2 linked regions of the Danio rerio genome follow. The protein of the gene in region 1 binds, or shares a complex with, the protein of each later gene. Links are inferred from orthologs where the notes say so. Each region holds a gene or a part of one and is shown on either strand. Other genes may lie near its edges.

The links.
Region 2: taf1b (region 1) and polr2h share a complex: the UniProt entries of both Homo sapiens proteins name them as parts of the pol I pre-initiation complex. The link is inferred for Danio rerio from reciprocal best matches to the Homo sapiens genes TAF1B and POLR2H.

What each region holds. Positions count from the first base shown.
Region 1 is NC_133195.1:32,286,173-32,290,099, reverse strand, and holds the start of taf1b (TATA box-binding protein-associated factor RNA polymerase I subunit B), read left to right. Parts: upstream 1-1,032; 5' UTR 1,033-1,125; coding exon of another isoform or gene 1,126-1,143; intron 1,144-1,230; coding exon of another isoform or gene 1,231-1,329; intron 1,330-3,427; coding exon of another isoform or gene 3,428-3,515; intron 3,516-3,620; coding exon of another isoform or gene 3,621-3,718; 5' UTR 3,719-3,927. UniProt on the Homo sapiens protein: Component of RNA polymerase I core factor complex that acts as a GTF2B/TFIIB-like factor and plays a key role in multiple steps during transcription initiation such as pre-initiation complex (PIC) assembly and postpolymerase recruitment events in polymerase I (Pol I) transcription.
Region 2 is NC_133197.1:38,618,390-38,621,912, reverse strand, and holds the end of polr2h (DNA-directed RNA polymerases I, II, and III subunit RPABC3), read left to right. Parts: intron 1-173; coding exon 174-257; intron 258-2,580; coding exon 2,581-2,698; 3' UTR 2,699-2,978; downstream 2,979-3,523. UniProt on the Homo sapiens protein: DNA-dependent RNA polymerase catalyzes the transcription of DNA into RNA using the four ribonucleoside triphosphates as substrates.

The sequences.
Region 1 (3,927 bases):
AATTGGCCCAGTGGTGAAAGAAGCAGCTTTTCTTCAAAGAGGTGGGGAGGAGGAAAGGAAGCATTGTTGATGGGCACAATTTATTTTATTTTTGTTACATTGCACATTTAAGCCACAATTGCATTAACTGGAACTTTATATATTTATAGTTTAAATGTTAAATATGAGGCATCTTAAATTTGCTAGGGTTTTTAACAACAAACAATAGAAAGGTCATGATGAGCAAACGAGAATATGAACACTATTTTGTATTTGCCTACTATTTGTTATAATTTATTAAAGAATAACAATAGAAATTCTGACTCAAGCAGGCTGATTGTAATCCAGGTAATGAGTAGCCTACCACCATTTACTGTCAGTTTTATCTAGCTATGGATTTTTGCGCCATCTACTGTCCATTGACTGTGACACATCTTTGTTTTGCAGGAGAGACATGCATTTACAATAAAACAAGTAAAATAAATGTATAATTTCTATATAAAAATAATTATGAATCGCAATTTATGTATCCAAGATAAGTTAATAGAGAATTCATGATAGAGTCAATACTTTATTATTATTATTATTATTATTATTATTACTTATCTGTCAAGCCTAAAAATAATTTAGTTACATTCCAGACAATATAAATGTTTAACAACATAATATAGAGCAAATACATAAAATAATTATATGGGATAATATAATTCCTACAATGTGGCAATGTGCAAATTGGGGGCTATGCCTTGTTATCTAAACTTGAAGTATGAATTATTATTATTATTATTATTATTATTTTGATTCACATATATTTATACAATATAATTACATTTCATTAATAAAATAGATGTTTAAAATTATACGTGTAAATGAGTTGAGTTATACTGTAAACGAAGAAAAAAATAAACATCAAAATTGTAATTAACATGCACATATACATATTACACAATATAGTAAAATGAAATAGCCCTACCAAAGGGTTCTAGATCAGTGGGCCAGGGCCTACTGTAAAATATTACGCTGAACAAACGAGTGACTTTTATTATGAAAAACGTATAGTCGGCCATGTTGAAAGCGAGTATGCTCACGCTGAAAACAGAAAACAAAAATTGTCTCATGTTTTGAAGTTCAGCTTACGTTTACACCATGGACGAACAAATTACTGTAAGTATCTCTAGTGTGTATTTTGTCAGTCTGCAGTGTTATGTGGAAATTCGTTATACTCTGTGAGCTGCGGTGCTGTTTCTCCAGGGTGGATATAGTGAGCCATGCGGACAGTGCGCTGCTGTGGACTGGGGAGTGTCAGACGAGGGTCAGTTCTTCTGTAAGAGCTGCCACAATGTCATCGAGGTGGGTTAATAGATATTTTAATATATAGTACATTAATACATAGACAGAAATCACTTTTTTTTTACATATGTATAGTTCTTCCAATTCCTATGAGCTTGTTTAAATGCATGGACAGGTATGAAGTTGTCGTATGTATTATAATTTACTCACTTTTCTGCTGATTTTCATTATGCTGCTGACTTTAATAGTTATATTAACATTTAATTTAATGATTGGTTAATTAATTTAAAAAAAATCATTAAACAAAAAGCTAATTAAAGCAGGAGTTGGGTAAATAAATATTACTAATTATTATCATACTCCCCCGGTTGATTGATTTATTTTTATTGAAAGCAGACATAAATGAAAACTTTTCATTTTATGAAAACTAAAATAGTATTTTAGTCACGTAAAGCTTATGCAGGTTTTATGAATGGGTTACATGCACAGAAGTGTTGTTCAGCCGAATCTTCAGGCAAACGATTGATGTGACTAATTTCAATTGCATAAGGGACCTTTTACAGCATCGATAATGTAGATTTTTATTTAGTTTAACAAAAAAAAAAAAACATCAGTAAATAGCGCTTTTCTGCCCAGCCTGCTCTACTGAGCTGAAGTTAGTTTTATAATCACATTGGTTCATTGTTTAACACTAGCCCCTTTCACACATACAGACCTTTCCGGAAAATTGGCGGCAATTTTCCGGCAGGTCCTTTTTGAAAATACCGGTAAATTCGTTCTGGCTATTTTCCGGAAAGAGAAGTTGTAACATTACCGGCAATTTGCCGGAATGCTGCGCTGTGTGAATGCAGAAGGAAGATTCCCGTAATAAGCGCGTGCACGTCTAGAACGTGCTGACGTGAGACGTCTGCTTTAGCCAATCACAACAGTCAGACGCATTTACGTCCGCGGGGTTTGTGAGAATAAAAGCCTTTGAATATTTTTCCAGACACATTTAGCTGCTAGAAGTTAGTCAGATCACGTTTATATGTTCTTCTTAATGCCAACTGTGTAAATAATCATCGATGAGATGCTTATGATAAGCCGTTGTTTGTTTACCTTCAAGCTTTGCGTGTGCCTGTGAAACAGCCTGTGAGCGCCTGCACACGCAGATATTATGAACATCTCGACATGCGAAAGTGATCCTGCGAAAGTTGTTCACAATATTGATCATCCACAGAGTTTGTAATTTAGTCAAATGTTTACAAACACAAGCGCAGCCGTTTAAAGCTCATTTGTGGTGAATGATGTCAGAATTTACCGGTATTTTGGAATGGATGTGTGAATGCTCTTTTCCGGAAAATTTCCGTAACGTCCTTACCTGTGTGAACAGGGCTTTTTTGAATATACCGGTAAAGTCGTTCCGGAAATTTTCCGGATATTTACCGGTATCACTGTGTGAAAGGGGCTACTCACAATCTGTGAAGTGCTCCTATATTGTTTACCATGCTACGCTGAATATTCAGCCTGAAATAGCATGTAAATATGGCTTAGTAATAAGTGTAATTCCTGCATGCCACCGGCCAACCACTAAGCATACAGTAGTCGCTGTAGGACAAATCGTGTGAAAGAGTGAGACCAGCGATCCTTGCATGCATTAAATATTGTACATCATGACAAGTTTTGCTTGCGACAGAACTGAAAATGTGCTAGATATATAATACAGTATGTCGTTCGGAATTGTAGTTTTATAAGTACTATAAAGTTTTCTAACTGGCAAATGACACAATCTAGTGATTGTCTGCTGTCAACTTTAAGCTGCGCGTTCATGATTTCAGGAGTCCTGGCTTGGGATGGCTGGGGTTTTCTAAGATATGCTAACGGATAGCATTTTGGCAGATTACCTCCTGCACCTTTAAACTGACAAACAAAACAAAAACGTTTGGTGTAAGACTTGCTGAAGAAGCTTTATGGCTCATTTCAGGAGAACAAAACCAATTTTTAAAAAAAAACAGCATCTGAAAACGTGTAATATAATAGAAATCTGCAGGCACAAATTTATAGTGCTATAAAAGAAACACTTTATGATGACTGTTTTGTCTACAGTGTCTCATCTTAATGGCATGATGTTATAAGCTTTACACACCTAAAGCATGTTGCTTGTTTTAACATCTTCTAGAAAATAAGGGAGGTAGAGGATGTTACCAGCCTTCATCATAAGCATGGCAGGATCTCAATAGTCAGGAAACCCAAGAAGAAAAAACATGGTCAGTCCAGCTTTACTTACTGTTTTTATTCTTGTTGATCATTTCTAACAGGATATTGTGCTAAAATGAAAAATTGAACCTGACGCCTCTTATGTCTGTTTTCAGATTCTGAAAGGGAGTGGTTGGTCTGTGAGGGATTTCAGTTCATCCTCAAACACCAGGCCAAGGCTTTGGTCAGTCTAGGTGTTTGTATGAAGTTTGAGGTTAGTGCTCTTCGTTTACTGAATCAAATTAAGTAGTTTGCACAGTATTCTTATGTTGTTAGATTTTATATTTGGTACATTGATCTCTTATGTAATTATGTAATTTTCTGTATAATTTGTTTTACTTTATTGTAGAGGTTTTTTTTTTTGTGGGTGCAAGTGTAAAATATAATGTATAAACAGTGCGACTTGTAGGATCATTTTACAGG
Region 2 (3,523 bases), on another chromosome or scaffold:
ACTAATGACATCATTAAAGTTGTTTAAATGACTTTTCTAGTGTCATGACTGATGGGCAACTTTTTTTAATCAATGAGGAATTGTCTTAAGTCACTGCTACTTTAAATCCACAGAAAGGTCAACACACAGACAATAGTAAATGAAACTCGGTGGTGTTTGTTGTTGTTTTGCAGAGCTGATCAGTTTGATTATGTAATGTACGGAAAGGTTTATAGGATTGAAGGAGATGAAACGTCTACAGAAGCCGCCACACGACTGTGAGTGTTGATTTATTTGCCTATTTACTACTTTTTTACTGGGATTTTACAATATAGGTGAATGCATGAAATGTGAGATTTTTATCAAGGTATTTTAAATAAAGTAAACAATTAATATGCATTGTTATTATATATCAGCTGTGGGGGAAATTAATTTGAAAGAGAATTCTGAATCGATAAGGAGATATGCAAAATGCATCTTTATTCAGTTTTGAGCTTATTTGCTCTTATAAACTAGCCCAGAGCGCCACCTGCTAGTCTAGAATAACAACTGCTTTTAAAAACTAGCCTGGAACACCTTCTGTTGCTAAAAAAACTAGCCCAAAGAGCCATCTGCTTTTAAAAAACTAGCCGAGAGCTACATTTGCTGTTTAAAACTATCAGAGAGTGATACTGCTGCTTTTAAAATCTAGCCTACAGCGACATCTGCTGTTAAAACTAACATAGAGTGCCGACTGCTGCTGTTAAAATCTAGTATAGAGCGACATCTGCTGTTAAAACTTTCGTAGAGTGCTGACTGCTGCTGTTAAAATCTAACCTAGTGCGACATCTGCTGTTAAAACTAGAGTAGTGCACCATCTGTTGTTAAATTAGTGTAGAGTGCCACCTGCTGGTCAGAACAAGCCTAGAGTGCCATCTGCTGTTAAAAACTATCAGAGAGTGCCGACTGCTGCTGTTAAAATCTAGTATAGAGCGACATCTGCTGTTAAAACTATCAGAGTGCCGACTGCTGCTGTTAAAATCTAGTATAGAGCGACATCTGCTGTTAAAACTTTAGTAGAGTGCTGACTGCTGCTGTTAAAATCTAGCCTAGTGCGACATCTGCTGTTAAAACTAGTGTAGTGCGCCATCTGTTGTTAAATTAGTGTAGAGTGTTACCTGCTGGTCAGAACAAGCCTAGAGTGCCATCTGCTGTTAAAAACTAGTCTAGAAATGCCTTATGTTGTTAAAAAGAACTAGCCTAAAGAGCTAACTGCTGTTAAAAACTAGCTTAGAGCAACATCTGCTGTTAAAACTAGAATAGAGCGCCATCTGCTGTAAAAAAACTAATCTAGAACGCCTTATGTTGCTAAAAAGAACTAGCCTAAAGAGCTAACTTCTGTTAAAAACTAACCGAGCGACATCTGCTGTTCAAAACTATCATAGAGTGCCAACTGCTGCTGTTAAAAACTAGCCTAGAGCGACATCTGTTGTTAAATCTAGCCTAGAGCGCCATCTGCTGTTAAAATCTAGTCTAGAATGCCTTCTGTTGCTAAAAAGAACTAGCCTAAAGAGCTAACTGCTGTTAAAAACTAGCCTAGAGCGACATCTGCTGTTAAATACTAGTCTAGAACGCCTCTTGTTGCAAAAAAAAAACTAGCCTAAAGAGCTAACTGCTGTTTATACTAGCCTAGACCGACATCTGCTGTTAAATACTAGTCTAGAACGCCTCTTGTTGCAAAAAAAAACTAGCCTAAAGAGCTAACTGCTGTTAAAACTAGCCTAGACCGACATCTGCTGTTAAAAACTAGCCTAGAGCCACATCTGCTGTTAAAAACTAGTCTAGAACGCCTCTTGTTGCTAAAAAAAAACTAGCCTAAAGAGCTAACTGCAGTTAAAAACTAGCCTAGAGCAACATCTGTTGTTAAAATCCCAGTATCAATGGAAAATCTATTTTTGTAATGCATTTCCTAACTAAAACTAGTCTAGAACGCCTTATGTTATTAAAAAGAACTAGCCTAAAGAGCTAACTGCTGTTAAAAACTAGCCTAGAGCGACATCTGTTGTCAAATTAGTGTAGAGCACCACCTGCTGCTCAAAATTATCCTAGAGTGCCATCTGCTGTTAAAAACTACTCTAGAACGCCTCTTGTTGCTAAAAAAATTAGCCTAAAAAGCTAACTGCTGTTAAAAACTAGCCTAGAGCGACATCTGTTGTCAAATTAGTGTAGAGCACCACCTGCTGCTCAAAATTATCCTAGAGTGCCATCTGCTGTTAAAAACTACTCTAGAACGCCTCTTGTTGCTAAAAAAATTAGCCTAAAGAGCTAACTGCTGTTAAAAACTAGCCTAGAGCGACATCTGTTGTCAAATTAGTGTAGAGCACCACCTGCTGCTCAAAATTAGCCTAGAGTGCCATCTGCTGTTAAAAACTAGTCTAGAACGCCTCTTGTTGCTAAAAAAATTAGCCTTAAGAGCTAACTGCTGTTAAAAACTAGCCTAGAGCGACATCTGCTGTTAAAATGCCAGTATAAGTGCAGAATCTATTTCTGTAATGCATTTCCTCCTCCACTCTATTGTTGCTGTAGTAGTGAGTGAATGTTTATATGTGTGTGTGTGCACAGATCAGCGTACGTGTCGTATGGAGGCCTGCTGATGCGTCTTCAAGGCGATGCTAATAATCTGCACGGGTTTGAAGTGGACAGCAGAGTTTATCTGCTGATGAAGAAACTGGCGTTCTGAAGCCTTCATCAAGGACTTTTTTTAATAACTCTGCTCCCCTTTCATGACAAACTGTGGCCCTTGGGTAATCTCAAAATATCTGCTCATCATTTGAAAGCAAATGCCCTGATAAAGGTTTTGCATCTCATTATTTGCATCCGAGTCATGTGACATTCTGCCTGTTTTTTTTTTTTTATCAGTAAAAATCAGATTGTGTTAACTAGTAATGGGCTTTTTGGATTTGTTATTTCTTTTCTTTTGCTGGAATAAAATGTTTTAAGACTGCTCATGTGGACAAAAACACAAGTCCTCCTGGTTACTGTCAATTTAAGCAACAGCAAAAAATGTAGTTTCAGCACAAATGGAGATCCAGTTGAATCAAGCTGAAGTGTGTGTGTGAGCGAGAAAGAGAGAAAGAGTGGGTGTCTGTGTGTGAGAGCTGTAATAAATATCATGAGACAGACGTCAGAGAGACTGCTTTACTGTCAGAGAATGAATAAACACTGCTGGATTTCTGTTTATCCTGCTGCAAATAATATATATATATATATATATATATATATATATATATATATATATATATATATATATATATATATATATATATATATATAGACACACACACACACACACAGTCGAAGTCAGAATTATTAGCCCCCCTTTGAATTTTCTTTACTTTTTGTAAACATTTCCTAAATGATGTTTAACAGAGCAAGGAAATTTTCATAGTATGTCTGATAATATTTTTTTCTTCTGGAGAAGGTCTTATTTGTTTTATTTATTTTTTTATTAAAACTGTAATAAAAGCAGTTTTTAATTTTTTAAAACCCATTTTAAGGTCAAAAT